3 linked regions of the Nothobranchius furzeri genome follow. The protein of the gene in region 2 binds, or shares a complex with, the protein of the main gene of each other region. Links are inferred from orthologs where the notes say so. Each region holds a gene or a part of one and is shown on either strand. Other genes may lie near its edges.

The links.
Region 1: map3k5 (region 2) and arhgef6 share a complex: the UniProt entries of both Homo sapiens proteins name them as parts of the cytoplasmic complex. The link is inferred for Nothobranchius furzeri from reciprocal best matches to the Homo sapiens genes MAP3K5 and ARHGEF6.
Region 3: map3k5 (region 2) and dcp1a share a complex: the UniProt entries of both Homo sapiens proteins name them as parts of the cytoplasmic complex. The link is inferred for Nothobranchius furzeri from reciprocal best matches to the Homo sapiens genes MAP3K5 and DCP1A.

What each region holds. Positions count from the first base shown.
Region 1 is NC_091741.1:83,152,978-83,163,639, forward strand, and holds the start of arhgef6 (rho guanine nucleotide exchange factor 6), read right to left. Parts: upstream 5,209-10,662; 5' UTR 5,067-5,208; coding exon 4,902-5,066; intron 3,937-4,901; coding exon 3,853-3,936; intron 2,279-3,852; coding exon 2,194-2,278; intron 1-2,193. UniProt on the Homo sapiens protein: Acts as a RAC1 guanine nucleotide exchange factor (GEF).
Region 2 is NC_091742.1:11,441,355-11,451,262, reverse strand, and holds part of map3k5 (mitogen-activated protein kinase kinase kinase 5), read left to right. Parts: intron 1-1,465; coding exon 1,466-1,643; intron 1,644-3,458; coding exon 3,459-3,476; intron 3,477-3,882; coding exon 3,883-4,060; intron 4,061-4,372; coding exon 4,373-4,541; intron 4,542-4,617; coding exon 4,618-4,803; intron 4,804-5,323; coding exon 5,324-5,429; intron 5,430-8,866; coding exon 8,867-9,113; intron 9,114-9,195; coding exon 9,196-9,308; intron 9,309-9,521; coding exon 9,522-9,643; intron 9,644-9,736; coding exon 9,737-9,813; intron 9,814-9,908. UniProt on the Homo sapiens protein: Serine/threonine kinase which acts as an essential component of the MAP kinase signal transduction pathway. Plays an important role in the cascades of cellular responses evoked by changes in the environment.
Region 3 is NC_091755.1:32,993,117-33,003,488, reverse strand, and holds the start of dcp1a (mRNA-decapping enzyme 1A), read left to right. Parts: upstream 1-4,731; 5' UTR 4,732-4,770; coding exon 4,771-4,899; intron 4,900-5,273; coding exon 5,274-5,314; intron 5,315-6,084; coding exon 6,085-6,212; intron 6,213-8,055; coding exon 8,056-8,122; intron 8,123-8,226; coding exon 8,227-8,365; intron 8,366-8,438; coding exon 8,439-8,471; intron 8,472-9,130; coding exon 9,131-9,691; intron 9,692-9,775; coding exon 9,776-9,988; intron 9,989-10,089; coding exon 10,090-10,170; 3' UTR 10,171-10,372. Other genes in the region: cacna1db (voltage-dependent L-type calcium channel subunit alpha-1D), read right to left, coding at 1-45, 2,666-2,693. UniProt on the Homo sapiens protein: Necessary for the degradation of mRNAs, both in normal mRNA turnover and in nonsense-mediated mRNA decay. Removes the 7-methyl guanine cap structure from mRNA molecules, yielding a 5'-phosphorylated mRNA fragment and 7m-GDP.

The sequences.
Region 1 (10,662 bases), on a different chromosome or scaffold from region 2:
GCAGAGGAGCTTTGATTTAGGACGAGTAGCTGCCAGCTGTCCTGCAGTACCGAGTCCTGTAGCTCTAGAGATACATGGACAGGTCCTTTTCATCTTGTCTGCTGCCAGGATACATTTAAAAAGTGACACATGGCAGGATTACAAACCTCGCACATGCTTACAAACAGAAGTCCTCACAGAAGGGAGCCTATCAGAAGCCAACTGGACTAAATCCAAATCTGAGGTCTAATTCTTGCTCAGATCACAGAAGATAAAGACAGGCTGTGATGAACAATTAGACTCATGGCCCTTAAATTCAGATCAAATAAAGAGTCCAGCTGTGGGGAAATAAAACTGACAGGGACTAAAGCATATTTGCATTTATGAGCAGTAAAACAGGAACCTGATATATGTTCAAAATGGAGAAAGCAGGAGAGGCGCTGGTGTTTTCCATATGTAAAGTTGTTATTGCCGATCATGCTTGAAGTTGTACAATACCACTGAAACAGTGACAGGTGGGCTTCATGAACACCACGTGTGGCTCCCCTCACACAGTGAAGTCCAGCAATACCATGTTTTCATATGCTGACAACATTCAGAACATTTAATCTATGAAACACACATCTTGAGTAAAGACGTGAAGCAAAATACATGAAGATGACAATAAAACAATGTTTTATGATGGATTGCATCATTTAACTTGCTACTAATCCATTTATAAAGATCAGCAGAGCAGCTGCAAGTTGTAGCCTGTGAAACACTTGGATATCGATTGGTAGTCAACACTGAATACAAACCCACGCCATCAGAGTTTACACTGGAATGGATTCCAGTTTTAATAAATTGGGCACTGATGAATGTAACATTTTTCCAAGGTAAGGCTCAGGTAACATCATGCAGCCCTGAAACATTGATTTAACTGTTTTTACCAATTTCATGACTAATTATACATTTCAAGGCAAATACTGAAAAAAGATTAAAAGGTCTCATCTGTTTATTTTCTCAATACATGTGCTGTGGTCTCTCTAGTATGAATGAATGCCTTTTGGGTGGTTTTCTGTGGAAGAAAGGCTCTGGCACCTCCATTTCAGGGGTAAAAAGTTTGTCCGAGCATAGGGGGTGGACGGCAGGATTTGGAGTATTCTCATTAATATTCATGTTATGCAAACAAACAAACAAACGTTTTCTGAGCATTTCCCCGTCTATTTGCTTTAAGTGTCTAATACAGGAGATTTCCATGTTCAGCCTGCACGTGAAACTCAGTGACTGATCATATTTCAAAAAGAATACGTTTCTCACCTTTAAACGCTTGATGATTTCTCAGCACGTCTACAATAATTCAGGACAAGGCAGCAACAGTTTGTTTATGTTTATTTATTTGGCAGACGCTTTTATCCAAAGCGACTTACAATTTATAACCTATAGGGCATGTTGTGACCTGTGAGGGAAACCGGAGTACCCCGAGGAAACCCACGCATGCATGGGGAGAACACGCAACTCCACGCAGAAAGGCCGCAGCTGAGCCGAGTTTCGAACCTGCAACCTTCGTGCTGCGAGGCAACAGTGCTAACCACTGCACCACCATGCAGCCAGTATTATACATACAAACAATCATGGGACACTGTTTGAGGAACAGTGAAAAAACTGCTCAAGAACACCTGCAACACAGCGAGACACAAACACACACTGCTCTGCCAGCTGTCGATCCACATTTTTAAAGAGCTCAATGAGAAAAGATCTTCAGCAGGGCTCGGACACAATGCACCAAACACCATTCAAGGCATTCTCCATTAAAACTGGTATATTTGGTCAACCATTTCAATTAAAGACATTTATTAATGGTGCATACTTTTGGTACAGTTATGACACTTAAAGAAGATATACACTGACCAATTTTTTCAAATCACCATCTATCTAAGAACAGGTGAGAGCTTAGCATCTGAGAAGTTCTGAGGTGTCATTTTCATCTGTCAACACAATATGAAACCTTTAGTGATGCAGACAGCAGCTTCTCGTTTACTGAAACAACAATACTTGTTTAAAACTGAAGTTCAGAAACCATGACATCATTGTCACACGTGGACGAGCCAGCTTTTAGTGATAGCGTATGAAAACAATTCAGTGGCTAATGTGCACTAAAGCCAAAGCTAATGTTTTAGGTGTGGGCGACCAAATGGTTTTAAACAGAGCAGAGAGAAAATGCAAAGCTGTTACCTTGTGTGGCAAAGTTGACTGCCAGCAGAGTACTCAGGACTTTGCCAAAGTTCTCCCCAGTGTATAACCACTCTGGTTCAAAACCCTGGGGGGAAGAAAACATCAGAGAAGATGCAGTCAGACCAGAAAAACCTAAACGTATCCCGATCATCTGAGCTGGAAGAGGCTGAACCTAGAGTCAAATTTAGACCTTTTCAAACAGAGGAACACATCTGAGTTCTGGTTCTTTATTGCACACACAATGGTGGAGAAAGAGAAAATTTACTTTGTAACAAAAACTGAAAAAACTAAAAATATACGTATATACAAGCTCATACATACATTATACATTATATACATATATACACATTACATATATACACAAATATACATATACATACACATATGTATATATGTGTATGTATATGTATATATATATGTATATATATATATATATATATATATATATATATATATATATACATATACATACATACATACGTACGTACGTACGAACGTGCGTGCGTGTGTGTGTGTAAAACAGATTACAGGTCAAGGCTACTAATCAGTATTAATATGCTAATTATGAAAGTAGCAGTAAAGTATGCTATACAATTCTAAATGTCAGTGAAGGTGTACGATCATAAATGTGAGCACAGAGTGAATAAACAGGCCCTGATCAGTAATCGGTGCTTCTTCCTCTTTGTTTATCTAAGAGCAGAAGTGAAAGCAGTATATCTGCTTTTGTGTGTGTGTGTGTGTGTGTGTGTGTGTGTGTGTGTGTGTGTGTGTGTGTGTAGTCACAGTGAGCTGCCACTAATGCCATAGCAAAAAAAGATAGAAATACTTTAACCATAATCACTGAGGTAAGGGCCAGCTCCAGTAGTCACACAGACATCCTCTGGCTGACACATTCAACAGCGTCTCAGAAAACATCTGCCACTGACCTACTGACTGGTGGCAGAAGGTCTAATTATGGGCTAAAGCGGAGCTGGCGGGTAAAAGCTAACAGGACCTCCCAGACATAACAACCCAGCTGGACAGAACTACTCAACCACTAAAGCAAGCCAAGCCTGCTGACTCAATTAACTGTTTAAAGAAACCAAGTGATGTGTTTCAAAACCAAAACAGGTTATTTATAACACTGGAAACGTCATTAATGTCCACTGTGGAAGCTGCTGGTAAAATAACCAAGAAACTCCTAACATCTGCAAATGATTCAACTCTTTCTCCTATAGGACATACTTTTGCAACCCAGGACAGTTAAGAGATAGCCTGGCCTGCCAGTCTCGTCCTCTGTTTAATTCTACACAGAAGGAGGCATGCTGGCCAGGCTAGTTAGAGATGTCTCTGAGAGCTTTCAGCCTGCGCCCAAACATTTATTCATTTGCATTTTAATGTAAAAGAGAAGTTTGTGAGGAAGTAAACTTCGTGTTTGTGTTTCTTATACAGCGTGATGCAATCAATTATCTTTCTCTTTTAGTTTAGAGTGAGTTCCCTACCATGATCCATATAAACATGACACCATATGTCAGCGTGCTTAGCAGATCACAACACATTCAAGATGGTTAACAAATATTTCTGAAAACTGCAATAGCCAGGGATGAATAAAGAAGATAAAAAAAACTTATGTTATTATCATAATTACACACCTTTAATAAAATAAACGAGTCAACTCACCTCAACTTTCAAGGACGAGCATCCTCTTAAAAACTCCTTAATGTTGGAAATGCAGTCGCTTTCAGTTCTGGGATCCTGACAATACTGAACACACGGAATAAGTACGTTATAAACACAGACTGTCCATCGGTTCAGTGTGCCAAACAGTCATCAGACACACACATTAAACCGCTTCAAGCATCACTTTAGTTCCATTTGTGATTATAATAACGATGCAGTGGCATTCCAACAATGGTGAGCTCGTGATCTGAAACAGTGCTTGGTTCTTCGTGCGTCTCCTTCATGCAGACATAACCATAAACCCCAGTGAAACGCCAAGAGCCATATTTAAGCAAAACATCCGCTCCCAGCACTGCCCTTCAAAATAAAAGTCCGCCTTGTGCTACTGACGAGCACGAGGTGATTGAGACATTAGAAGAAGAAATACTTATTTGGTTTTAGAATTAACCGGAATTTTTTTATTGAGTCTAACATGAAACTACAAAAGTAAAGATACGAAACTAGCTAAAAAGAGTGAGTCGAGTAAAGCAGAAGCAGCAACTTCCGGTTGTCTTCTGCTCTGGGGAGGTCGTACACACTGGGAAGAGCAGCCGCTCAAGAGGAAGTGACGACCTGAATTTGCAACTGTTATCACTATCAACTTTCTTATCGCCAGACTTAACATTAAAATACACATGCATCACAGTACAATTCCAAATTCCGTGACTTTAATTAAACCCTCTGTCCATTCTACCCCTAACAGGGGGCGTTTAGTGCAGCCTTGATAGACCTATTCACTCAGATCAAGAACGCGTAACATTTTATCTCTTCACAGGAAGCCACTTACTGAAAACCCCTCGTCAGTAAACTCACTAGATGCTCCCGTTATCCAACGCAACACTCACTACGCGAAAGAACTAAGTTTGCTGTTGAAACTCTAAGCTCGCAAACAGAAAGCTGAGCCTGTGAAGTGCAAGAAGTTCCTGTCGGTATCGCTTTCATCAAACCCCTCCCTTATTTCCAAATCTCTGCTGATCATTCTCCATTTACTTGATAAATCAGCAGCTCACCTTGGGAGTGAAGCTAGGTATGAGCCGCTCCGTGAGCTTGCACAGGACGACCCCATCCTTGAGTGATGTCTTCAGAAACTCCTCCGGGTCCGCTATGTTCTTCTTGGGCGAGCTGAGCACTCCCAGCGATATCAACCACGTTACCGTCTGCTCTTCGGGATTCATAGCTCCGCAGAACGACCATTGCTTAAGCCCGCATAGCTACAAGAAAACTGGCGGCCTGTTCCGTAGGTATCAATATGCAGCTCACATCCGCACTTCTGCAAGTTAAAAAAAAGGCTGTGTGGGGGGAGAGGCGACGCAGTTCAGGACGCAGAACTGATGATCACCCCTACTGGTATACAGGAACCTCAACAACACGTTTCCTGCAAGTTGACTTTATCACAGGAAGTAAGGCTCAGAAAACTAATATGTTTGGTGTTCATCACATCATGCAAGAGGGGAAACCTAATCCAGAATAAAAATGTGTATTTGGTAATAACGCAGTCAAATTAGCGAGCATGTAAAATAAAAGCAAAATAGGTATGTTCAGTGTTTATGAGTTTTATGAATATTTACATTTGCAGGATGGGGACAACTTTGCTAAACCCGACCATAAAAACAATCTAGGCCTACCTCTTATTGGTCCGTTAAAATAATTTTTACAAAACCAGTTTAAAACATTCATACATTTTGAAGGCAGACATAAACTGTATTTTAACAATATTTTAAAAAACATAATAACTTGACACCACTGCTCTTTGAAAAATATTTATTAAAAAATAATAAGATTTTTTTTTAAAGAACTCCTGAATTCTTCCCACTTTAAGTTGCTCCAGTTCTGATTCATCCAGCACCTGCACAGAGCTGGATCAGCACCTGAAAAATATTGAAGAAAAAAATGTACATTTGTTCTTTTTTATGCTTTAGACAACTCAAAAACTTCAAAAAGAACCAAATATTAAGTGCCAACAAAGATATTTATAGGTGTGGGAAACTGGTTTAATATATTTGCAGTGGCCTCTGGTAGAAATGAATGCCTTGCAAGCAGCCCTCAGGGCAAAAAAGCCCTGAATAGCTTGGATCAGCATGAACAAGTCTGCTGTTGTAGAGTGGAAACCGTGTCAGTTCCAATACCATCATGAAAAAAATAAACTGCACGTAGGAGACAAGGATTAAGAAAAATAAAGATAAATAAATGTAACTTATGTAAATGTATATAACAGATGAGTGGTTGAATTTACAGTTCTTTTAAATGGTTTACAATGTGTCCAAATTTTGAGATGTTCCATAAAGTCTTCACGATGTCGTGATGACTTTATTTTTATGTCATCACGCTGAGAAGTCCACTTGGGTGTCTAAAAAGAACAACTTATGCTGTTTGGGAATATTTCAGGTACAAAGCAAACTTAAAAGAAGAGCCTCTAAACACTGAAGAGATCATTTGAGCTAAATAAAAGACAACCTCTAAAGACGTAGGTCCCGTCAGCACAGGAGCGATCCGGAGCTAAAATAGCAACCTTCTGTTTGGAATATGTTATTAAAAGAGACACTTTTCTGGTGGAAAATAAGCTGCCAGTTTTTCCCAGATGTCGCAACTAGCCCTTAAGTACCCGTATGTCTGTGCCACAAGCTCATCGAAGGGAGTTTTCAGCTGTCGTTCTACAACATCCTATGTTGAAGCCAGAAAAGGTAAACAATCTGGTTATTTAAGCAAATAATCTTTCTATATGCTGCAATAATATTATGTGCGTTATGTTATTTTTTAGTAATGGTGTTGGTTATACAATTTCTGAACGGCAAAAGTCCAAATGAACAGTTTGGTAATTCCACTTGAGGCTAACATCATTTTTGAATCAGTCCCAGTAAAAGTGGTCAAATGTGGAGGAAGTTGGATGTATTAAAATGTGGATACCGCCTAAGCTTACTGACTGGTGCTAGCGTTGTATATTGCATGTGGAGACAGGTTTAAAGACACATGGTAAATGGCCTGTATTTGACATTGGGCCTTCTAGAGTCCTGGAACCCCCCAAGGCGATTTACAACACAGTCATTCATTCACCCATACATACACACATTCACACACCAGTGGGGATGACCTACGATGTAGCCACAGCTGCCCTGGGGTGCGCTGACAGAGGCGAGGCTGCTGAGCACCGGCGCCACCGGTCCCTCTGACCACCACCAGCAGGCAACGTGGGTTGTGTCTTGCCCAAAGACACAACAAAAGCGACAGATTGAGCGGGGCTCGAACCTGCAACCTTCCAATTACGGGGCGAGCACTTAACTCCTGTGCCACTGTCACCCATACCATAGATTGAGCCCAACGACTGAGCTCAGTTTATGGGTCGTGGGAAGGCCATATATTTACGATGACTTGCCAAGCTAATTTAAAGGTGCAATAGGAGACAGGGCTGTACAGTGCAACATATATGTCTCACGTGCAATGAAAAAAACTCTGTGCGACAAACTATTTTTAGACATGGCACTGGTGTGACATCTTTTCAAGTTACTTTTTCCCCTTTATTGAACAAGGTAAGTTGCTTTAGATTGTGTAGGAAAGGTGCCTTTTACTGGCGCACAATGTGCTAATCTAGGTGCTGTGGAGGAAAACAGAGAAACCAGCATGTAAGACACAAAGGCAGAAACAGTCCAAAGTTTGGGCAGATTAGCTAATGCTAGTGGGTATCAGGTTCACAATGAAGCGGGGTTCTAAAAAAACACGATGGTTGTGAAACTAAGGCTACGTTCACACTGCAGGCCTTGTACTCAATTCCGATTTTTGGAGTGAATCTAAATTTTTTTGTGGCCGTTCACACTATGACTGAAATGAGACATCAAACTCTCTCCAGTGTGAACGCTCCGCGGCCACAAAGCGACACGCATGCGCAGAAGACAAGAAGTCACACTCAGTGGAGCCGAAACCAGGAGCACCGGAGTTGTGATGTAATACTGATCCTTAGGGCTGTAGCGAAGCGTCGACGGCTCGATTCTAAAAATTCATCGACGTCAGATCCGGTAGTCGACGCGCCACGCCCACTTGTTGCATCCCCAGGAGTTTGTAAATAGAGATGGAATCTGCCTGTTTTTCTTCTAGTTCGCCTTCTTCTCCGCCTTCACTAACATCTCCGCCAAATACCGAAGACCCGGAACAACGTCCGTCCGCTACTAGATTCCTTTCCTGTTTTGCCCGTCTTCGTCTCCCGGCAAGGACAACAACTTCCGGGGTCAGATGCGCTGCTTCGTCTCTACCGCAGATGTAGAACATCACCGGGAGCGTTTCTCCCTTCATAAAGGAGCTTCTTTCAGACATTAGGAGAGCTGGTTTGGTGGTAGCAGTCTCTCCTCCGTGCTGGTCTGTTTGCTGCTGGGTGTTTTTGGTTTATTTAAACTTGGTAACTTGAACTTAACGTTGGTAAAGCTACTGTTAGCATTTTTGCTAACAGCTTCTTGCGTTTGGATAAGCGGTTACGTTTTGGTTTAGAGTTAATCTTTTTTGTGGTGCAGATCTCCCTTTTATTACATTTAGTGTTGTGGGTTTTCGGGTTTAGGTTAAAATATCACCTTGAGTTTGGTTTAACCACCCAGTTTAGAGTTTGGACCTTTGGAGATCCTTATTTTGGTCCAGAACCCAGTAATCTTTGCCCAGTGGGACATCGCTACTTATTTGTACATTTGTTTTAATTCCAGACAGGCAGAATTAGTTTTGTTATTCCCAACCTGTAGATGGAAAGATTTATGTTTTTTTGTAGTTGTAAATAAACCTGATCATCATTTTAACTTTTAAATCCCGTGTTATTGTCCCTTCCTTTTTGCACATGAGCCAAACTCCCCAGGAAGGGTCGTAACACCACTCGCCTCACGCACATAAGTGACCAAAACAAAGCAGTATGGAGACTTGTCTCCAACCACCTCTCAGGCAACAGCCTGCACTCTTTAAGTTCTACATGTCACCAGAACATAACCAACCAACAAAATAAAAGCAGTGTTATACAAAATGGAAGGCCTGTAGTGTTTATTCTCTTACAGTAAAAATTTATCAATTTTTTTGAGGAATTTATTTGAGATTTTTTTGTTTTTATTAACTGTGCAATAAAAAAAATCACTAGATTAATTGTCTAGTCATTAGACTAGTCGGCTACTCAATAATCGTCAGAATAATCGTTTTAAAAATAATCGTTTACCCCCGGCCCTACTGATCCTGTGAATAAACTGAAAACTTTCACACCTTTTATTTCTTCTGCTTTGGGCTGGAAACTGTTTTAAAAACTGTAAACTATTTTCCTCCTTGTTCCCGCCATCTACCTGAATTATTATTCATCGAAAATATTCCGGTATTAATTCATTCACGGAGATTCCCCCTCTCACGGAGACCTGCTAGGCTAGCTTGTTGTCAACTTTAGAGACCGTCTTAAACTCTCAGCTGCTTTTTTGCTTAACATGTTAGCTCCAGTTTTATAAATTAAACTGTTTTCCTGTACGGGAGTCAGAGAATTTCACTCCGTGTGTTAGAGAGGAGATAGTCCTGCAGCGTCTGCACTCATTAATAGATGAGTGTTGTTTAAACGTTTCTCTAATATTTATTATATTTATTATGGACTGTAATATGATGAGTCCTCCTCTGCTCTTTCCGCTAGACTGAAGATGGATGCTCTACACAAACACCAACAACAGTTTCTCCTGTTTAGTTTCTGTTTGATGGCTGAACCAAAGTCAGATCCAGCATGGCAGCAAGTCATGGAGCCAAACCAAGGAAAGGAGGGTGTGAAATTAGCAGGAGGCTGGTGAGCTGGGAGCTGGTGTACCCATCTCCAGGCTAACACAGAAGCTGCTGCTGAGTCAAGAGCACTTAAGGGTTAGTTAATACTGAAGGGTATTTCACATGAAGATGTTTAAAAAGACTGAACAAACTTTAGCAATCTGATGACCATCTCTTCCGTCGATCATAATGGGCAATGTGAGATCACTGGCCAACAGGAGGAACTCCAAGCCCTTTCAAGGACTCAGCCAGAGTTTCGGCAGTTTCAGAACTGCTGGAGGAGATAATGCAAAGAAGGATTCTCCAGAGAATCAAGAAAATGATGGACAACCCTGAGCATTCTCTTCACAAGACTGTCGTAACAACGGAAGAGTGTCTTCAGTCAGAGGCTTCTTCAGTTTCGCTGCAACACTGACCGCTACTGGAGATCCTTCCTGCCAACAGCCACTGTAATATACAATAACTCTTTTATGACTTGATTATTATTATTCTGAGCTACTACAGCAATCAATTTCCCTCTGGGATTAATAAAGTATTTTTAAATTGAATTGAATAAGGTGCCAAACATTGAGATATCGGCCATCAACTGACCACGACCGCCTCATATCGGTATCGGCTGTTGAAAAACGAATATCGGTCAACCTCTAGTTATGTCTGTCATTTTATAAAGTTAAGTCTGACATTTTCCACCCAATTCCGATCTTTTGAAAATCCTAATCAGACCAGAGCACCCAGAGTTTGCAAAATTAATGAGTTAACATACCTGCAAACTTGGAAAATGTGAAAAAAATTAACACTAAAATCACATCCACCCCTGCGGATCAGTCCCTTAATGTACAGGCAGCATGTGTAACTTCATCTGCCTGCCACACTTGGCTATTGTTTTGCAGCATTTATTTATAATTGTTTTTAAATGTTTACAAATCAATAATAAATTTACATGTGCCACATTGCAATGGATTGACTAAATGGTGAATTGACGCACTTTTACTCTGATATTACCCAGCAAACATTGTCACAGTG
Region 2 (9,908 bases):
GATTAAAAATATATTTAAGATGAGCAAAAAACAGACAATTGTGATTAAAAATGTAAAGAAAGAGAGAGAGTGAATAGGAAAGAGGGAAATCAGTGGATCCTGAGGAAGGTGGAATAGGTGGGGAGAGCAGAATAAAGAGAGAGTGAAGAAGGTCATACAAAAGCCAGCTTGAACAGGTGAGTTTTCAGCTGCTTTTTAAAGGAGACCACTGAGTCCACTGATCTCAGGCTCGGGGAGAGAGGTCCAGAGTCTGGGGGCCATAGCAGCAAATGATCTGTCAGCTTTGGTCTTTAGCCTGGTGCTGCACAACCAGTAGGCTTTGATCACTGGACCTCAGGGACCTACTGGGGGTGTAGGGACTGAGAAGATCACCAATGTAAGATGGTGCTTGTCCATGTAAGGCCCTATAGACCAGAACCAGGATCTTGAAATGAACCCTGAAGTTGACTGGCAGCCAGTGAAGCTGGAGGAGAACCGGGGTGATGTGGGTGTGTTTGGAGGACTTGGTCAGAAGCCGAGCACAGGCATTCTGAACCACCTGTAGACGGTTCAGGGAGGTTCTGCTCAGACACGTGAAAAGAGAGTTACAGTAGTCTAAGCGTGAGGAGATGAAGGTGTGGAGAACTGTCAAGTTCAGAGCGGAACAGAATGGGAGTTTAGCATTGTAAAATAATTGACTGTTAGCAATCAGTCAGTCAGAATAATAGTGATCTCACAAAGTCTCATAAATATTATTCTCCCCCAAGCCTCTGTTTTATATTAAAAACTGGATCAGCCATTGTCCACCTGCACCTGTGGGCTGCAACCTGAGCCTCTTAATACCGTCCGCACACGAACATTTGTTTGAACACAAACACGGGTGAGATCCACCCTTACAGTGTCTTTGTTTGGATTATTTATCCTGTCCGTTTATGTGGCACGAATGCCGTGGATGGAATTTTTAGAGCGCCACACCAGCAAACGGCTCTTCTTAACCACATGTGGTCCATTACAGGCGGTAAAAAGGAGTGAAGGGACGTCTGGAACGTATTATGGAGTTCACGTCAAAGCTTCCAAACATGGGATTTTTCCATATGATTTAATGAAAGGATTGGGACTCAGACAAGAAAGTATATTATTGTACCCTAAGCATGTTTTGTTTAGAGGACTTTAACGGGGAAAGACTTGCACTCACTGTTAGAGCCAAGATCAGACAGTACAGGGTGCAGTTACAGATCCCATGTCTGTTCTTTGAAAGAAACACGGAGTTCTCTTATTGAATAAAAGGGCCTCGATGTTCCTGTCCTTAAGGGTGGGGTATTGTCTTAATCCTAAATCGACAAAGCTTAGCCTTAGTGACAGGAACGTCTGTTGTTCCTTTAATCAGGAGATTTCTTTTTTCTCAAACTTTGTCCAAGTTGCTGCTGCTTGTTTGAACGCTGTTGCATTTTTCAACTAGAACGTCTGTTCTGATTGGATTTTGCAGGTGGGAATGTTTAAGATTCACCCAGAAATCCCAGAGTTAATGTCACCAGAAGCCAAAGCCTTTATTCTGCGCTGCTTCGAACCCGACCCAGATCGGCGCGCCACCGCCTTCGACCTGCTCACGGACGAGTTCCTCACCGTGACCAGCCGCAGGAAGAAGAGCAAGAGCAACCTCAGTGGTGGGTTCAGTTCAGAAATTACCAGCATCTTCGAGATAAAAAGTCCTGGAAACTTGTCCTGAACGCAAAGTAATGGGCCATTCCCATCTGTACCGGGTCGGCCCGGGCCGGGTAGCGTAGGTTGTTTACATATCTGGGTGGCCTGGTATTTTTCCGGGCCAACCAAGGCTCATTCTCAGCCCTCTTCTCGAGGGGGTCTGCTTCAGGCCGACCAGGGCCAACACACCCACTGCTGACAGCAAATTCACACCTTCCATTAGAGCAAGCCTCTGATTGGTGGGTAGAATCAGACCACATGGGCTTAAGACAAGGATGTGTGGAATCAACCGGGCCAGGCTGGGGCCGACTGGGGCTACCCGGCCCGGGCCGACCCGGTACAGATGGGAATAGCCCATTAGATTCCTCACCAGCCCTGCCCACAAAATCCAACATGGCAGCCATGCAGTTAAAAAGGGGCGATAACTTCGCCACAGCAATCAACTTTATTTGCACCATCAGGCGCTTTTCCATTGTTGGAACTTCAGGGGAAATTCTGGATGGGGAAATTTACCGTGAGATACGACAGCATATTGTGACTGCTTCGGCAGGAAGTGACGTCACTGATCAGCGCCACAAAGCATCCACAGTTAACTCTTTCACTGCCAATGACTTAAGTCGTCATTTGCATTTTTATTATTTTTTTTTACTGTGTGGGTGTCGGAACGAGCCCCCGCACCGTGAGAACGAACATCCAAGCTCTAAAGCAGATCTTCATCCACGTACGTCACACGTCACGTGATCAGGAAGCAGAAAACCCATGTGTTAGGAGATCTTTTTGGGCCGCTACTGTAAAAAAAAAAGTGAGGCGCGAACCGGAAAAGCTTCTGACGATACTTTGGACGTGCCTGAAAATGTCCGTTAAGTGGAGACACGCACATGCTGGAAAGTTCCTGTAAATTTATCCTGAAGTTCCGACAGTGGAAACGCACTTGTTAGTTTGGAGCAAGGCTCTCCACTCTTTGTTCTCCAGGTCCACTATCCAGCATGTTTGAGTTGCTTCTCTACCCCAACACACCCGATTCAACCGTTGCATCAGGTGTTCAGCAGGTCATGAAGATCTGTACAAGCCTGATAATCTGCTGATTAAAATCAAGTGTGTTGGAGCAGGGAAACAACTAAAACATGCTGGATAGGGGGGATCTTGTGGACTAGGCTAAAACGTCTTAGCGCAAAGCTAACATTTAGCTTGGAGTTAAAAGTTTGCAGAAATGGTATTTAAAGAAAAAACACAATCTGCATTCTGCACCTGAAAACCACCACGTATCACTTAAATAACAGCAAACTAGCTTGATGGATCGTTTTATAAGTGGGGAGGCAAGTTCAAATACTAATTTCCCTCCCGTTTGAGCCACAGCTCTCAGCTTATCAGTTTCATTGTGCTTTTAAGTTTAATCTTTAAAGCTCTGAAACTAGTTTTTTACTTAAAGCACTAAAACATCATTAATGCATAATAATGAAATTACTAGAAGTTTTGCAGCTTTAATTCCAAAAAATAATAATTAGTAATGGTTCACTTGTGAACTCCTCGTCAGTCTGGACTAATTATTTTATCACACAGCTTTTAAAAGACTGAAGCCACATCCTTCCTGTTTTTCGTAACATGTGAGCATGCTCCTCATGGGGTTTGCACCCCGCAGCGCTGATGCAATCATGTGCTCCGGCACCAGTGCACTGCAAGCTGCTTGCTCGGAAACGTTATCCTGCCAATCGTACATGTAAATCCTGTTGTTTTTCTCTCAAAAAACTGCTGACTCTTGGTTTTTTTTCTCCTTGCAGCTCCTTCCTCGGGTGCAGGTGAGTAACTCAGCCCTCTGAACATGTTTTTCAGACATTTCTACCACTACTTGATGGACTTTGTAAATTAAACTTCAATTTTACAAACTCCTCTACACTTCACAGACCTCTTTTTTGTCAAAGAACTCAAAATAGATGTGTTTATATTCTGTTTTTATAAGTCAAGGACAATTCTTCTTATTTGTTGCCCAATAAAATAATAAAGCTCTTCACCTTAAACACAAACTCAGAGTAGTTTGCTTTAGTGAGAAACATTGTCTACCTCAGGTTAGAATTATTGTGCGTGTGCGTGTGTGTGTGTGTGTGTGTGTGTGTGTGTGTGTGTGTGTGTGTGTGTGTGTGTGTGTGTGTGTGTGCGTGTGCGTGTGCGTGTGCGTGTATGTGTGGTGGAAACCCTTCTGCTCAGAGTACCTCCGTAGCATCTCCCTGCCGGTGCCGGTGGTGGTGGAGGACACCAGCAGCAGCAGCGAGTATGGCTCCGTCTCCCCTGACAACGACCTCAACACCAACCCATTCATCTTCAAGCCCAGCGTCAAGTGCTACAGCGAGAGGGATGTCAAGGGGCCCAGGTCCCTCTTTCTCAGGTAGAACACTTGAAATGGACAGAGTCGTGGCTGCTGCTTGCTGCAGACGAGTTTCACGCATAGCCTCACGACTGTGAAACACTAAACCAGTTGTCAGTATAAAGGCCAAAGCAGGTTTATTTCAGATTAAGGTCTGAGAAGTCTTTAACAGTGGATTTTCTAATGTAAAAATGATACAAAACAGCAGAAAATTTTGTTTTTGAACAGATTTACGAATTACGAGCCATCTAACTAAATGTCCATAGGTGTCCTTAAGACTTTTGCATATAATAAAAGAACGCACTAAACCAAACCGCCGACTATTTATCTCAGCATTCCAGTGGAGAACTTTGAGGATCACAGCGCTCCTCCGTCTCCCGACGAGAAAGACACAGGCTTCTTTATGCTCCGCAAGGACAGCGAGAGGCGAGCCACGCTGCACCAAATCCTGACCGAGGACCAAGACAAGGTTGTGGCCAACCTGATGGAGGCCCTCACACAGGTTGGGAATGGAAGAAACTAACAGGAGGGCCAGGGAGACGCAGTGTTAAAATCTTCTGTGGTTCTCTGACCTTCAGGGCTCTGAGGAAATTAAAGTAAAACCGCAGCACATCTCCATCCTCGTAGTGAGTCTGGCTGACTTCATCCGCATGGCCGACAGGAAGATCATTGCCAACACCTTGTCTCAACTCAAACTGGACCTGGACTTTGACAGCACCGCCATCAGCCAGCTGCAGGTCATACTGTTCAGCTTCCAGGATGCTGTAAGTTCATCACTACAACAGGGAGGTTCGATAAATCCTCCTCTAATTTTCCCTTCTGGGAATAATCAGTCCATTGAAATCCTTGAAATGACTTTAAATAGCACCAGATTAAAACCCAAACATCACTCCTCCTCCATGCCTGAGTCATGTGACTTCCTGTCTGTTACATCCCTGTAGAGCTCTGGGTGTTTTGTTGTAAATGTTTTACGTCAGGCAGCAGAAGCCTGTCTGTTTCCTTTTCCTCCTGCGCCGAGATAATAAAGTAAAAATGATTCATAAGCTTTAAGAAAAGAGGTCTTCAGACAGGAGGAACTGCACATTCTGCAAACAGGCTCATCAGAAATGCTAAACGAATAACATAAGAGAAAATGGTTGTTAGTGTATTGCATAATCTGAGGTGGGAAAATGGAGTTCTGACGCCCCCTGCTGGTCATCGATGCACCCAGAGGATTTTTTATGTGTAGTGCACGACTACTTAGACTTGTAAATATGAAAAGTTTGTTTTCCTTTATGTTTATAGGTGAATAAAGTGCTACGAAACCACAACATCAAGCCTCATTGGATGTTTGCTCTGGACAACATCATCCGTAAAGCAGTGCAGACCGCCATCACCATCCTGGTGCCAGGTAGTATCATCCATGTTTAGAGCAGAGCACCTCTAAATGAATTATCCCTCCCTCCAGCCCTGGGCCAAACTGGCAGGATAAATCCAGGGATATGAAGAGGGAAGAATATAGAGCTAAAATGCATTATAGATGCATACTTTTTGCATGCTGGCTGTGGTTTTTAGAAGTATTCCTTGGCCGACGCCACGACTCTCACCTGAGTGTTAAATTGTTCATTAAAGTGTTTCTCTTGGTCACGTTATCTTTGATTTAAAAAGTTGTATTTTGCACATTTGGAAGTATTTGCAAGTTTTTATCCTTGCTTTGAGTAAAGTTATAATTAATTACAGATTAGCCGTGGTAGATGGCTTCCTGAATTGCCTCTGTTTGGAGAAACAGATTAGCATCCGTTAGTAGAGATAGTCTTCTTAGTGTAATTATTTATCATCCTAAAGTAAGAAAATCTCTATATTTTTTAAAATAGTGATATAATTTCTAACAAAAACAAGATGACCAAGTAACATTTATAACAATATACAACCGATGAAATGCTAGAGTTAGCAGGCATCGCTACCACTAGCTTGCATGGTCATCCATTGTTGCCCATCCAGTTGATGTTTGCAGACAAAACTTAGAGAAAGTTGTTGTCAACATTAAATGTGTGGTTTACTCGTTTATTCAATACATTTGCAGTTTTCTCTAATGTAAATCAATGCCTTATGAGTCATGAGATGCAGATGTTTGCTGGTGAGGAGGTGGACTGAAAACAGCAGAATTGCTCATTATTATTAATGATATGCACACACCTTGCTTTTAATTGGCTAACAGAACGTGTTCAGCCATGTTGCACAGGCACTATCACCAACACACTCTGCTCTCTCTCTTTGCTGCAAAAAAAATTTTTTAAGCCTTCCAGTGGGCAGACGTGAGTCAAGATGGGAGAGGCCATGAATGCAAATTCACAGTGTGACATCACAGTGTGAGGATTTTCAAATCCTAGCATTTCACCATCTATTTTCTATCAGAAGCTAACAGAGGAGATTAGTGTGGGAGATTGTTTTCATGTTCAGCCTGCATGAAAAACTCAGTGACCGATTATAATTAGAAATAGTTTAAAAAAAAATTCAGTCAACCACACCTTTAATCAAAACCTTTGGGTTAATATTATGTCCTAACCTTTACACTCGGCCTCACAGTTATTGATTTTCTGGGGACATCCGTTCATGTTTCTGCAAGGTTTTCCACCGTGATTGTCCATGTTGTCGTTCCTGAGTATGGTGTCGAGTCGGGCCAAATCCCCACTCTTAATCAGCAAATGGGTACAGCAGCTAAAATACCTAAGAAACGTACCTTTCCCTGCTCGCTGTCATGAGTGAATATTGTGAGATTCGTGCCTTGTTTGCCTTTCCAACTTTAATAAAGCCACGCTGTATGGCCCACATGAACAGAATCCACTGCATAGTGGATACATTTACATCATGGTATCATCATGATAGGTTTTTTCTAAGCAAGACATAATTACTAGTGGTATTGTGAATGACCTGATACACCCATCCCTAGGTTGAATTTAAATTGTTGTACATGAATTATAAATATATATTAAAAATAGTGCCTTTGTTACCTTTTTGCCAGCTTTTGATACAGCTCTAACAACTTGATAGATAGATAGATGGATAGATGGATAGATAGACTCCATGTCCAGATTAAATTACAAAAACCATAAACAAGCTACATAAAAACACACTTTAAAAAAATGTCGTTTCTTATGGTTCCAACAAAGATGATAAAAAGCTACTTGTGCCTTAGACAGCTTGCCAGTGTTTCCAAAGCTCAGACTGATGGTGAGCGGCACTAAGGTTAACGTTTAACAACTGAATCAATATATGTTTGATGCATTTAATCTGCTGATGAAATTCTGTAGACAATGAATCACATCTTGAAGGGGTTTAACTTGTAAACAATTTACAGGAAGAAAAATATTGAGACAAATATCATAAATCAGAATTTTGCTCAAAGATACTGGATTGTAAGTTCTGGTCCATATGGCTCAGCACTACTTTTAAGTAAAACTTTAGTTTCTCACACTTCCTACTGGTTGGAAACAGTATTGCAATTGTTGCAACCAGCAGCCTGCTATAGCTAGCGCTAAAAATGAGCTAACGCTAACACAAGACTACTGATACTAAAAAGGCCATGAAGTAAAAAGATCAACACTTTTGGACAAAAAATGATTACTCACAAGTCCATTAGCAACAAAGCCAGGTCACCATCAGGCCGTGATGTTGTAGCTTCCTTTAGCTCCCTCAAGCTAGTGTAGGCCACGCTGATGTTCACTCTGGTTTTTGCTCTTTGCGCCACTTCCAAAGACATTAGTCTTTTACTTTTAAGTCCAGGTGTAGCACATTTCAAATTATCATCGTAGGTAAGGAGGAAGACTCAGGAGACACCAGTCTGGATACTGGAGACATTGGTGCCAACCAGAACTCTGGGCAAACCTTTAAAACAGTGGCAGAAGGCACAATTTAGTAATACAGCTCTATTTAAGTGCTAAAAAATGTAGGAAAAAGTACATTAGCACTATTCAATGCATTTTTACTGACAAAAATTGTTCTGATTCATATTCCTCGGTCATTTACATATTTTCACAGCTTACCAAGTTATTTTTGTGTTTTTAGCATTTCATTTTAAGTATCAGAGCTTAAACAGGTGCTAATTTAAATCAAAAGAAAAAAAAGAGGACCTCAGTTTACCAGCATACAGGCTGCTTATCTCAGCTAGCAGGCTGTGCACATGGCGAAAGTGTCTGTGTAACACTAATTATGCCCCCTGTGCAACAGTTACCAGAGAGGAACTATAATATATCAGCACCACTAAATGTATGTATGAAAAAAATTTAACGTTACACAATGACCCAAAACCATAGATGACATAAAAAAATCATTACTGAAAGTTTTGTGAAGGTTCATTTCACCAACCAGAAATATAATCGTGCAACACAGGCTCCGCCATGATGCCAACAAAGAAGGAAACAACTTCTTCTTGTGCTTTTTTATTGGCTGTCTGCAAACTGAAACAGCTAACTGCTGCTAGCTATTATATGAGCTATCAGCAGAGTGAAGAGCTGTTGCTGTAAAGCAGGTAGAGACTTTTTCCACCGGTGCCAACCAAAGCCATGAAAGTTGTTAAAGTAACAGTGAGTAACCTGTTCTAACTCAACAATCAGTCAGACCAATGTTAAAACTATCAGGTGTTACTTCAAAGGCAGTTTCTGGTCTAACGTTAAGTTACTCAAGTCTCTGGCTTAAGAACCACTGGAACCAGTTATAAAGCAATAGCTCAAAGTGTTAAAAGCTGGCACGTTCATTCATTCAGTTTAACTGTATTATCACTCATTGAGTTCATCTTGTATTTACTTTCTGACTCTTTTTTTTTAAGCGTGACTATGTGTGTGTTTTCAGAGCTGAGGCCTCACTTTAGTCTGGCCTCAGAAAGTGACCCGGCCGATCAGGATGACATTGGCGATGACGTTGAGCCTTGCAGGAATTCCAACCACCAGAGTCGTGCGCCCAACATCACCGCTCACGACGACACGGTGGCCACCTCGGGAGTCAGCACACTCAGCTCCACCGTCTCCCACGAATCATCCCACAATGCACAGCGCTCTGTGAGCATGGAGCTGGGCAGGATGAAGCTGGAGACCACCAGGTAGACACTGTTTTATGCCCACTGCTTCATGATTCACCATGCTTTTTTTGTTCATGTTTGGTCATCTGTGGAATAATTTCAGGCTGCTAGAGGAGCTGCTGCAAAAGGAGAGAGAGTACCAGGCCATCCTGCAACAGGTGCTGGAGGAAAGAGAGCAAGAGATCCGACTGCTGAGGATGAGATCTGAACCTGCAGGTCTGTTCTTTCATGATTTATTTGTTTTTAGACACTCCCTAGTGGCCACTTTTGGAACTGCTAGTTTATTTATATTTTTTTTTTTGTGCCTTAAATGGTTTCCTTAAAGATCAAACTAGATGCATACGTTTTTTATTATTTATTTTTTTTATTTTTGTGCATATATTTGCTGGTGGAAAATTCTGATTATTTGAGTCTTCATTTCTATTAAAGATACCCCTGCTACATCAGAGGACCTGCAGCATCCAAGCGGCCAGTCCGCAGAAAGACACGAAGACCCAGAGCTGACCAGCTGGCTGAGGCTCTGTGGTGCTGACCAGAACTCTATAGACATGGTGAGTTTCCCTCGTTCCCAGATTGGAACATCGAAGCGGTTACTGCCGTTTGATGACTGGTTCCATAATAGCGTTTTCTTTTTGTGTCTCTAGATACTGACCGAGGAGTACACCTTGAATGACATCCTACATTATGTGACAAGAGATGATCTGAAGAGTTTAAGACTGAGGTAGTTAAACAATAAATACATTTAATTTTTTATTCTTTATGGAACAGTTTCACTTCTGTTCAAAGTCATACACCTGAGCAGTACAGGAATACAGA
Region 3 (10,372 bases), on a different chromosome or scaffold from region 2:
TGTCAGTGGAGGGAGTGGTCCGTCTGTTGCTGGCATACTGTGCCCCTGGAAATGTAGGATGGGAAACACACAGAAAACTTAATTTACACAAATTTTACTGCTGTAAAAGCAAATGTGCAAAAATATTATTAATGTTAATGTTTGAAATTTCTGGACCATCATTTTAAAATTAGTCTTGCTTTGTTTTTGAAGCTCTGGAGCAGATTTTGTATGATGGTTAAGACTTGATAGTTCAACAACTGCCCAGGCTAGATTAAATTTGCTCCTAATTTAACCTCATATCAGCCACTTACTTGTACTTCACATTAAGGATGCACTACAAGCCCTGTACTTTTTGCATTAACCCTAGTCATTTTGCATTTACAAACACAGTAAGATGTGACATCGCTGAAACCTGTTGATTCAGTGTCACGGTCTGGGTTTTTCCCCTGAGTGGTTTTTGAGTTTCCCTCTGCAGGTGGGTGTGTCGGGAGGTGGCCAAGCTGCAGATCATCAGCTCATCAGCCGGTCAGGTGTACCTGAGAGACGCTGTCACTTCGCTGGATGATTACTCTAACCTGGGTACCTCCTAACAGCCACTTGAGAAAAGTTATTTTGAGTATTTTTAGTATTCAAGCCTTGATTTTGGATTTTACATGCCTGATCACCCCTTGCCTTTCTTTTATGAAGATCCTCCACTCCCATCTCTGACCGACTGAATTTTGGATATCTCTACACACTGCTCGTCTCTCAGACCATCCCTGACCTTCCACCTCCTGTTGCTCCCCCACCAAGACCCACCTGTATCTGGACTTCCTCAAGACTCAGCTCCCTCAACCTCTTCCACTGGATTCCTATTCCCTGTAAGCCCCTCCAACCCAGACCGGACCACCCTCCCTCACTCGAGCCGTTATGCATAAGACCTTAAGTCCTCCAAACCCACAACCTCCCTATTGTTGTTTTGAACTGGACCTTAAACTGCCTTTGTCTGCAGATTCCCGCACCAGATCCCTGTCGGAAGAACTCAGCTTGCTGCTCCTTTAAGTTGTCTCCCTTAATAAATTATTGTTAAACTTTCGCCTTTGTCTGAGAACTGATTCTGTATGTCGTGGGTTAGTCACTTACCTCACAACATGACATTCAGGGCCTTAAACACATGTTGGGTCTAGAACTGCAACCAATATTGCAATTACAGATAGAGGAAAAAATCAAAGTCAAAAAGTCTTATGCAAATGATAGTTTTTTGTAAAGCAGAGCATGAAAAATAAGTTGTCGGTTACGGTTTGATCTTAAATGTGTTCCTGTCTGACTCAAGCTTGCTCCATGAGGTTTTTCCTGATTTCATCACTTACTGAGTTTACTGAAGATTAAAAAAATGTTTAAAGCATAACTCAAAGGAAATCAACAACAAAAAAATCAATCTCATGTTATGCAACTTGTAATTTAAGATTTATGATCAAAAATCAAATGTCATCTGAATGCAAAATAAACAAAGCAGTTGACGTTCTAAAACTTGCCAACTGACCTCTGCAAACCAAATGAGAACCTGGTTGCAGAGCAGCAATAATATCTCCACTGAGTCATGACCACAACCTCTAACCTGCATCAGCATCTTTGATCCTTTGTGTAAAAACAAAGCTAGACCCAATTAAACCTTGACACAAATAGTTTAATTTCTTGTTAATCAACATGAGAAATAAACTGTCAATAAAACACAAATAAGAGCAGATTAATCCTTTTTACAACAAAGATGGAAGCAAAAGAAAAGGTAGTCCTGATGTTCAGAGAGCTGACTCTGGCTTAAAGGATTATCTGTGTTTCAGCTCCACAATTTCACGTTTCAAAAGTTAAGTCCGTCAACGAGGATCAAACTTTATTATAAAGCCATCAATGTAAAAGTATTCCGCTACCCAACAAGAAATGTTAAAATAGAAAAACACTGGAAAGGATGACAGAGTGGGAGAGGACACCATGACTGAGGGACAGTCATTAAATCAATGCGGACCATGAGTGAAAAAGACAGTGCCCTTGACAGTCACTTTGATACGCTGCAACTCCACATTAGTATGAAATCAGGGTCTACACACCATAAAATCACCAATATTTTATGTCATTGGAAGGAAAATAGGGATTTTATCTGACCAGTTGAGAAAGACAAGAAGTTCAGAGAAACTGAAATATGACAATAATACCTTAATTTAATGATATACAAGCTCTAAACTGTGTTTTTGTAAAACTAGACAGACAATTCAAAGATGGGCAATAAAGTCACAAAATAAGCCTGTAAAACCTCTCTGCACTTCTCTTCAGTTGTGTTGAAGTTGATCATTTTCACTCCCTTAAACACAGTTTAAAAAACTGGTATTACTTGAAAAGTGAATTAGCCACCCTGTGTTTATTCTATAAGGTAAACGTATCCAAACCAACATCCAGAACCATTAAAACAACCATTTGATCACATTACAACCTAGTCAACCATGTCTGACAACAAATCCTAATGGGTTTAAATCTTAAGCGTTATCACAAATACACATAAATGTCACACACACCGGAACTAATATGATATATAAATCAAATCAGCAGGATAAACGACTCGGAGAATAATCAGATGTGCTGCGTTTGTAGAATAAACCAAACGAGCGCTCTCGCCCACTCAGCTCTCCAACTCCCCGCGCGCAGATTTTACCTTCAGTCTGTTCATCTGCTTCTTGCATCCTCGAATCCACATTGAAGAGATGCGTGTTAAATCCAACTCATCGTTGGAAGAAAACACCTGTAAGTGACGACGGAGCGGAGCCGCTAACCTGATTTACAAAGACTTTCCCGAGCGCAGATCCTGAGAGGAGCGCCGAGCATTTTCCCCACATCCGGGTGCCTGGTGTGGATTCACGGCGCATCCGAGAGGACGAGCTGTGAGCGGCGGACCAGTCTGCTGTCAATAAGTCTCACCGTGGACTGATGACAAGTTCCAGCAGTAGAAAATAAAACAAGATTCTCTATAAAGGGTTTAATTTTCCTGATTATGATCTGGAATCGTTGTAACCAATCAAAAATGTCAAAGAATTTATTTATTTATTTATTTATTTATTTATTTAAAAATTATTATTATTTGCCGTTTTTTTTATCCTTGTGTCAAAGATCAGCCATCTTGGGTCGCAGTCTTCAACAAAAAATATCTGATTTACTTACTTCTTTTAAATAAAAACATGCATGTCTGCAGACACATGCATTTCTTGGTCATCACCTTGGTAATAAACTGTATGGTTTGCCCTGTCTGACAGATAAAATGTACTAAATCTTTGCGCACTGTCTGGACTTACCCCTCAGGTGTCTGCCCCTGATAATAAACCGCATTCTGTCACCTGTTCCTTCTTCGAGGCCTCATAGCGCCGATCTGTGTGTTCATTCTACGGCGATTCGTGAGGGAATGGGTGGTTTGGAGCTCTGATGGAATGATAGTGATTGGATTACCTGCATTCAGGGTAAAACAGATTCACGGTAGTGCGTAATCCTTAGATTATAATCCCCGTTCCCTAAGCATGAGAGATAGCTGCATGCACCAAAGCTAGGGTCAAATAATAAACATGATTTTTTAAATAGAATTTTCAGACACTTTCATTCACTTATTAGCAGTTTAGGATTTGAATAAAAGGAAAATCTAACTTTGACTTCATAACAAGGAAAATAATGCAAGTTCTTCTCAAATAGGTCTGAGTAATAAATCTGAAATTATAAACTGCATTCATAAAACCATGTCAGGCGTTGTGAAATATTGTTCTGTTTTTGCTTTCATTTTCTTTCAAGATTAACAAAATATATACCAAACAACTTGGGTAAATAAAATGATCAACAATAGAAATTTTAGGCGTAAAAACACAAGTTAAAATGAAAAAAACCATTGTGATGTGTACATATTTCCATGAAACTTGAGGTAGGAAACATATTAGGCTACATGAAATTAACATTATAATTGCAGGCTTTTGCATTGCAAATAGCTACTGAACTCAATTTTAATAATAAATAACTCCAAATTTTGATCATCCAATGAATGAGGTGTGAACAAGTTGTTAAAATAGGTATCTATTTCCGTGTTTTTCTGCTTCACAGTTTGTTGCACATTGCTAAATATTATTTTGGTGGAAATTAAATATGTGGGTTAAAAGTTTATTATCATTTTTATATTTTAAGAAACCTGCAATCACATGAAACTTTCTTAACCCTCTGGAGGCAGGCGCTGCAGATTTGCAACAGTTAAAACCTACCTAACTGGTTACTCCACATACGTATTTCATGAGCATTTTTTTAACTCAGATGTATCCCTGAAAGACTTAGTTGTTTGTTCCTTTATCAAAACTTATTTTGAGCCTGAGAGGGTTAAATGCCTAGAGTATACACATTACATGTATTCCCTTAATTTGAACTGGCTTGCATAAAAGTCCAAAAAAGTTTGAAACTTGTTTTTCTAATATCTCAAAGGATGACATTATGTGTAGGAAATAAGCTTCAACTTCAGTTGGCAAACTACCTTTTCAAACTATGTTCACATTGTTGTGGGTTTGGTTTCAGACATATTTTTTCTGCATTTTCTCTCAGAATTTGCAATTACATTGTTTTTATTATTATTATTATTATTATTATTATTATTATTATTATTATTATTATTATTATTATTCCCCGCGGAATTAAAAAAACTCCTCTGGGGAACCTTTTCAGTGGTGGGATTTCCGTAAATACCGGAAGTTATAGGTGTTTGCAAAAATTCGTCCGTGCGGCAGAAAATCATAAGCAAAGATGGCGATTAATGCTGGACATCTGATGAGTTTAGCTGCTTTGCAGAGACACGATCCATACATTAACAAACTGCTCGATGTTACCGGTCAGGTTGCTCTTTACAACTTCAATTCAAAAGCAAACGAATGGGTAAGTAAGAGAATTTACCCTGGAAAAGTTTCGGGAAATATTTGGTGGAGAGCCAACAAAGCTAGCTTCACACTTAGCTTCTGAGCTTTGATTCAAAACAGAAAATATTGTTGTTGTTTTTTTTTTGGGGGGGGGGGTTGTTTGTTTGTTTGTTTTGTTTTTTAAGTAAATGTCTTTATTTGTTTAGTTAATTAAGATAGCGTTGTCTAGTATGTTGTTTTAACGCGAACACAATTAATGCATCTTAGGTACTTTCTAATTGTAAAATTTAACGCCTTATTAGCTTTCAGTTAGCTTATCACCCTCGCTAAATTTATTTAGCTAGTTTGGATTTGCGGTTTCTAGGTTTGAGTCGTTATCTCTATTTGTTCCAGGAGAAAACCGAAGTTGAGGGAACCCTGTTTGTTTATGCAAGGTAAGAATACCTGAGAGCCACGATGGTTGTTCCGCCGTCTGCGCACGTGAGGCCTTGAAATTTGTAAACAAAGATAAAGTGGACTCTGTGATTCAGTAAATCGAACGTAAATTACAGTGTTTAGAGATTGAAACTGAAATATTATGTTATAACGTTGTAATAAACTTTATTTTTAATCAGTTAAAGCATGAAGAACTAAAACGACCACCTACAAACTTTAGTTATAAGGAAATATAATAGACTTTATTAATTTTGTGGGTAAATTCACTCGTTACAGAAGCACATACACTTAGAGAATAGAAGAAGAAAAATAACAAAAGTACCAGTAAATACACAAAGGCAAATCTTTCTGTTAAAAAAATAAACAGGACACGAATTTGTTGTAGGTTACTTTGAATTGGACTGGGAGCTACTTAAATCAATAGTAAAGTTAACTGCTATCCTTTATATTAATTACTAGCACAGTAAACAGCTCCTGCTTTTTAGCAGGTAGAGACCTCCCACACTTGTGCCGACCCAAACCATAAAACTGTTAAATGTAGTTTCTGGTCAGCAGAGGGCTACTGAGTGCTGTCCCATGTGAAGATGTTCAACTTTATGGCTGAAGAACCACTGAAACCAGTTTGAAGGCAATAGCTTAAAGTGTCGAAAACTCTTTAGTATTGCTTTAAATGGTCAATTAAAAACAATCAAATGTGGAGTAAATATTGTACCCAAAGCAATGTGAAGTGCAATTAAGGAGGTAATGTTTTTCCTGGGTCCTTATGAAGGTCTGCCTCCCCTCACCATGGCTTCACCATTATGAATCGACTGAGTGCACAGAACCTTGTTGAGCCCATAAATAAAGACCTGGAGTTCCAGCTGCAGGATCCTTTCTTGCTCTACAGAAATGGAAACTGTGAGTGTTTTGAAGGAAATGAAACACTAAAGAAGTATTTTTGAAATATGTTATTTTTTCTGTTGTATTTTGGTGTGTTTGTGGTTTTGTTTCAAGGTGACTTAACATTAAGGACTTGTTTCCAGCACAGAAAAAGTGTTTAATAAATCTGTAAACATGTTTAATGACTTCTGAACCAAAATGAAAATACATTTCCTCCTAGTATAATAGCTTATTATTATTGTTGCTTTGTTAAATTCTGTTAGTCACAAAATGCTCATTATTTAATAGAAATTTCTGCAATTTTGGCATTTTCATAATTTTCCTATTTGAAGCATTAGTGATATCTTCACTTTTACATACAAATGTGTGTATTAATTATATTAACTAGCACAAACACTATTATGATCCTTAATTATATTAACTAGCATAAACACTATTATGATCCTTAATTATATTAACTAGCATAAACACTATTATGATCCTTAATTATATTAACTAGCATAAACACTATTATGATCCTACCTGTGAAAACAATAGACAGATATCTCCCCAGCGTTCGATGGAACACCTCTCTTCCATATTGCTTGAAGTCATTGTGACGTCTTGCAGCATCAAGCAGGAACACTTTAGCACTCATGGCCCAAAATGGCCAAACAGCAACTTCAGCTTTGCTAGTGAACAGTTATCTTTCTGCATTTGGGCAACCGTCTCAGAGTTAAGTCTCTGATTGGTGAATCCGACCACTAAGTTAATCCAGCGATGTCCTCCAGCCTTGTGACAGAGCAGTGTAACAAAAAGGCCGCAAAGTTTCTCAAATCTTCAAAAAGTAGCTGACTGCGCTGCCTCCAAGGTAATCTATTAGAAGTCTGAAGAGAAGCTTCATCAGGGCAACGAACAAGGAGTTAGAATGCTTTCCCATTTGTTTGCTTATAAGGAAAAACAGCATAGCCAGGGTCAAAGTTAGAGTCGACGGCTCCCCTTTTGGAGTTGGTTTGCACATCAGCCTGGCTGGGATCGAGGACATGATGAGGTTGGTATCCCAGTAAAACCAGCTTCTCGGATAACTTTACTTTAGCATGTGTGCTAATATTGTTGTTTGGTGGAGTTGCAGGAAGATAATCTTCAGGTTTCTCCCTGGCAGCAGACAGTCCCTCGCACACACACAGTCCACTAGATCTCAGTGTGCTGACTCGTTCTGTAGCCTGTTGCTGTAAAGGTGTGGCTGTATGAGTTTAGATTTCCCAGCTGTGATCCTGAAAGCGAGAGTAGTAGAAGAAACGATGAAGACTGAGCTGGCATAAAAGCAGGATCAAATAAAGAGCACAGGTTAGACACAAGTACGGTTAAATCTTCAGAGAGATGGTGATGATTAACAAATATATGAGTGTTTCTTCAGTCTCCTTTGAGTGCTTGTGAGCTTGCAGCTCGGGGCTATAGACTGTTGGAGAGAGACATACTTGTTTACATGGCTTCATATTCCCTTTGGTGGCTGGAGATGCTGCAGGGAGGCAAACTCTTCAGTTGCTAGGTAACCACAGCCTCCCTGGGGGATGGTATATTCACCAGTGTGTTGGTGCAATCCAAAATCACATAAGTGATGTGGTAACAAGTTAATGTTTCTGTGAAAAATGTAATATTTAATCACTAAATCATTTTTGGTTTGTGTCAAATTTGATGTTATTTTTTTCTGTTCTCTATCTGCTGCTTGAAACAAAGATGCAAATCATGCAGAACCGAGTCCTTGACACAGCTCTAAACAGCTTTATTCAGTCATCACCCTAATTCTGTGCTTTAATCGACAAATTGTAATTTTTCAGTTTTTTAGGCAGCTAAAAATGTGTTCTTTGTTTTGTTTTTACAGTGGGAATCTACAGTATTTGGTTTTATGACAAAAAGGACTGCCAACGCATCGCTCAGCTGATGGTGAAGTAAGTAGGTCAGCACATCCATGCTGTGTTTGTGGATATGGTTTTTGGGGAAGTTCTGTAAATAATTAGAAGTATTTCATCAGTATGTTTTAACTTTGCTCCAGGATTGTAAAACAAGAAGTGGACCACGCCAAGAGGAGGAGCCCAGAGAGAGCAGAGGCAGGCAGAAGCAATGGAGTCGCAGAACCGCGGCCCATCGACATCCTGGAGCTGCTCAGCAAAGCAAAGGAAGAATATCAGAGAGTAAGATTTTTAAAAGATGTTTTAGTTTTTCTTAAAACACCTGATCACTTTGTCTTTTTGTCTTTTTCTGAAGACCCAGTCCGGGGAGACAGAAGTGTCTGCAGAGGTGAGCATGAAAGCAACAATCAGTGATGATAAAGAACACAACACACTTGAAAAGATTCATTATGAGTTCTGTTGTTTTTATTACGTCCTTTAGAGGTGATGACAGAATGTAATAAAAGTTTTGTATTTGTTTGATGTTGACCGCAGAAAAGTTATGTTGTTTTTTATTATGCGAAAAGTGGTTTAATCTTTATTTTACTAATTACTTCCTAATTTTATCTGTTTATAAATGATGTGTAATGGAACAAATATAGAAATAATAGAAATTAGAAATAATAGAAATTAGTTGTAATTTTATATAAATACTTATATTTATTTAAGTTATTTGTCATTTTTAAAGTAATAATGGTGGGAATTGTTGATTTCTTTATTTGTTCTGTTTTGGGCCCTGTTCCTTGGTGATTTTGACGTTTTTCTTTTGTATTCCAGATTTTATTAATGTCTCAAAATTAGCATCTTAGAGATAAAAATCTTTTTCAGAATTTAAAGATGTCACAATCTGCAGCAGATTGTTGTAAAACCATCGATTGCTAAAGTTTATAATGGCCAAAACTCATCATTTAGTTAAATACTGATTCTAAAAAGGGGGCAATGAAGGTGATTCTCAAATAAAACATGATCATAAAATAATTTATAATTAACCCTCTTTTTTTAATGCAGGGCTTTCATACGATGGTGAAGCAGATCACAGTAGAGGAGCTCTTTGGTTCTTCTCTTCCTAAGGAACCCTCTCTAATGGCCGCGCCTTCACACAACAGCACAGCTTCCACTGATCTTCCTACTGCCTTTGTCCAGAAACAACCTTATCCGCCCCAGCAAAGTCCATGCATCCCCTCTGTCTCCAACCACCAGCAGCAGAAAGGCTCCGCCCTAATCCCAGCTCCTTATGTGCTGAATCACAGTCCTGTTTTCCACTCGGTGGTTCCGAGGCAGGACCCCCAATCCCAGAGCTCCATCTCCTCTCTTATGATGTCTCCATCTGGATCTGAGCATCTAGCTACTCCGTCTGGGCCCATAGCTTCTCCAGTCACTCCCAGCTCCTTTTTGGGGCAGGATCTAGTTGGCTCGCTCAAACCAGCTGCATCGTCTGTGAATTCAGGTGTTCACAAACCGGTCCTTGCACCCAGCTTCCTGCCAAGCGCTCTGGTTCCACCTCATAGCTTCCAAGAATCCAACAAAGAGGTTTTCTCTCAGCCTCCTAGCCTGATAAACCCAGTTCCTGTGAGTTTGTTAGCTGGTGGCTTTTTGTCTCTATATCTTTCTCAGCTGGTTATCCACAAAATTTCCTTTTGTCTCTGTTCCCAGGCTTTCCCCGTGAGTCCAGCTTTAGCTGTCCCCGTGTCAGAGATGTCTGTGCTTCTTTCCCCCAGCGTCTTTCAGCAAACCACGAATAAGAGCACATCAGCACCCATGGTGCCTCCTGCTTCCTCTGAAGCGTCCTGTGCCTCTGGACGGGCTGTAGAGTCTCTACCCTTCAGTAAAACCCAGCTACAGGACACTTTGATACACCTCATTAAGGTACAGTTCCGAGAGGCAAAGTTTCATCTTTGATGCTCAGAGTTAAAAAGAATGAGTTGAATTTAAGCTGAATGATGGTTGTTTACTTCCTTCTTGTCTAGAATAACCCAGAGTTCCTCAGTGCCATTCATGAGGCGTACCTGCAGAGTGTATCCAAGGACCTGCGCAACATTAAGCTATAGTCCCACCCCACTGATGATGTCACTGCTGCACCCATGTGACCACAGAAGAGACTATTATTGAGCAAAGATGAGCTGAAGTTTGATATTTTAAGCCGGTTTGAACTGGTTATACTAGGGAATGTCATGGAAGTCTTATCAAGGCAAGGAGTGTATCTGGTTAAGATATGTAAACACTGAACTGCTGTTCCAGTTGATTTTGTGT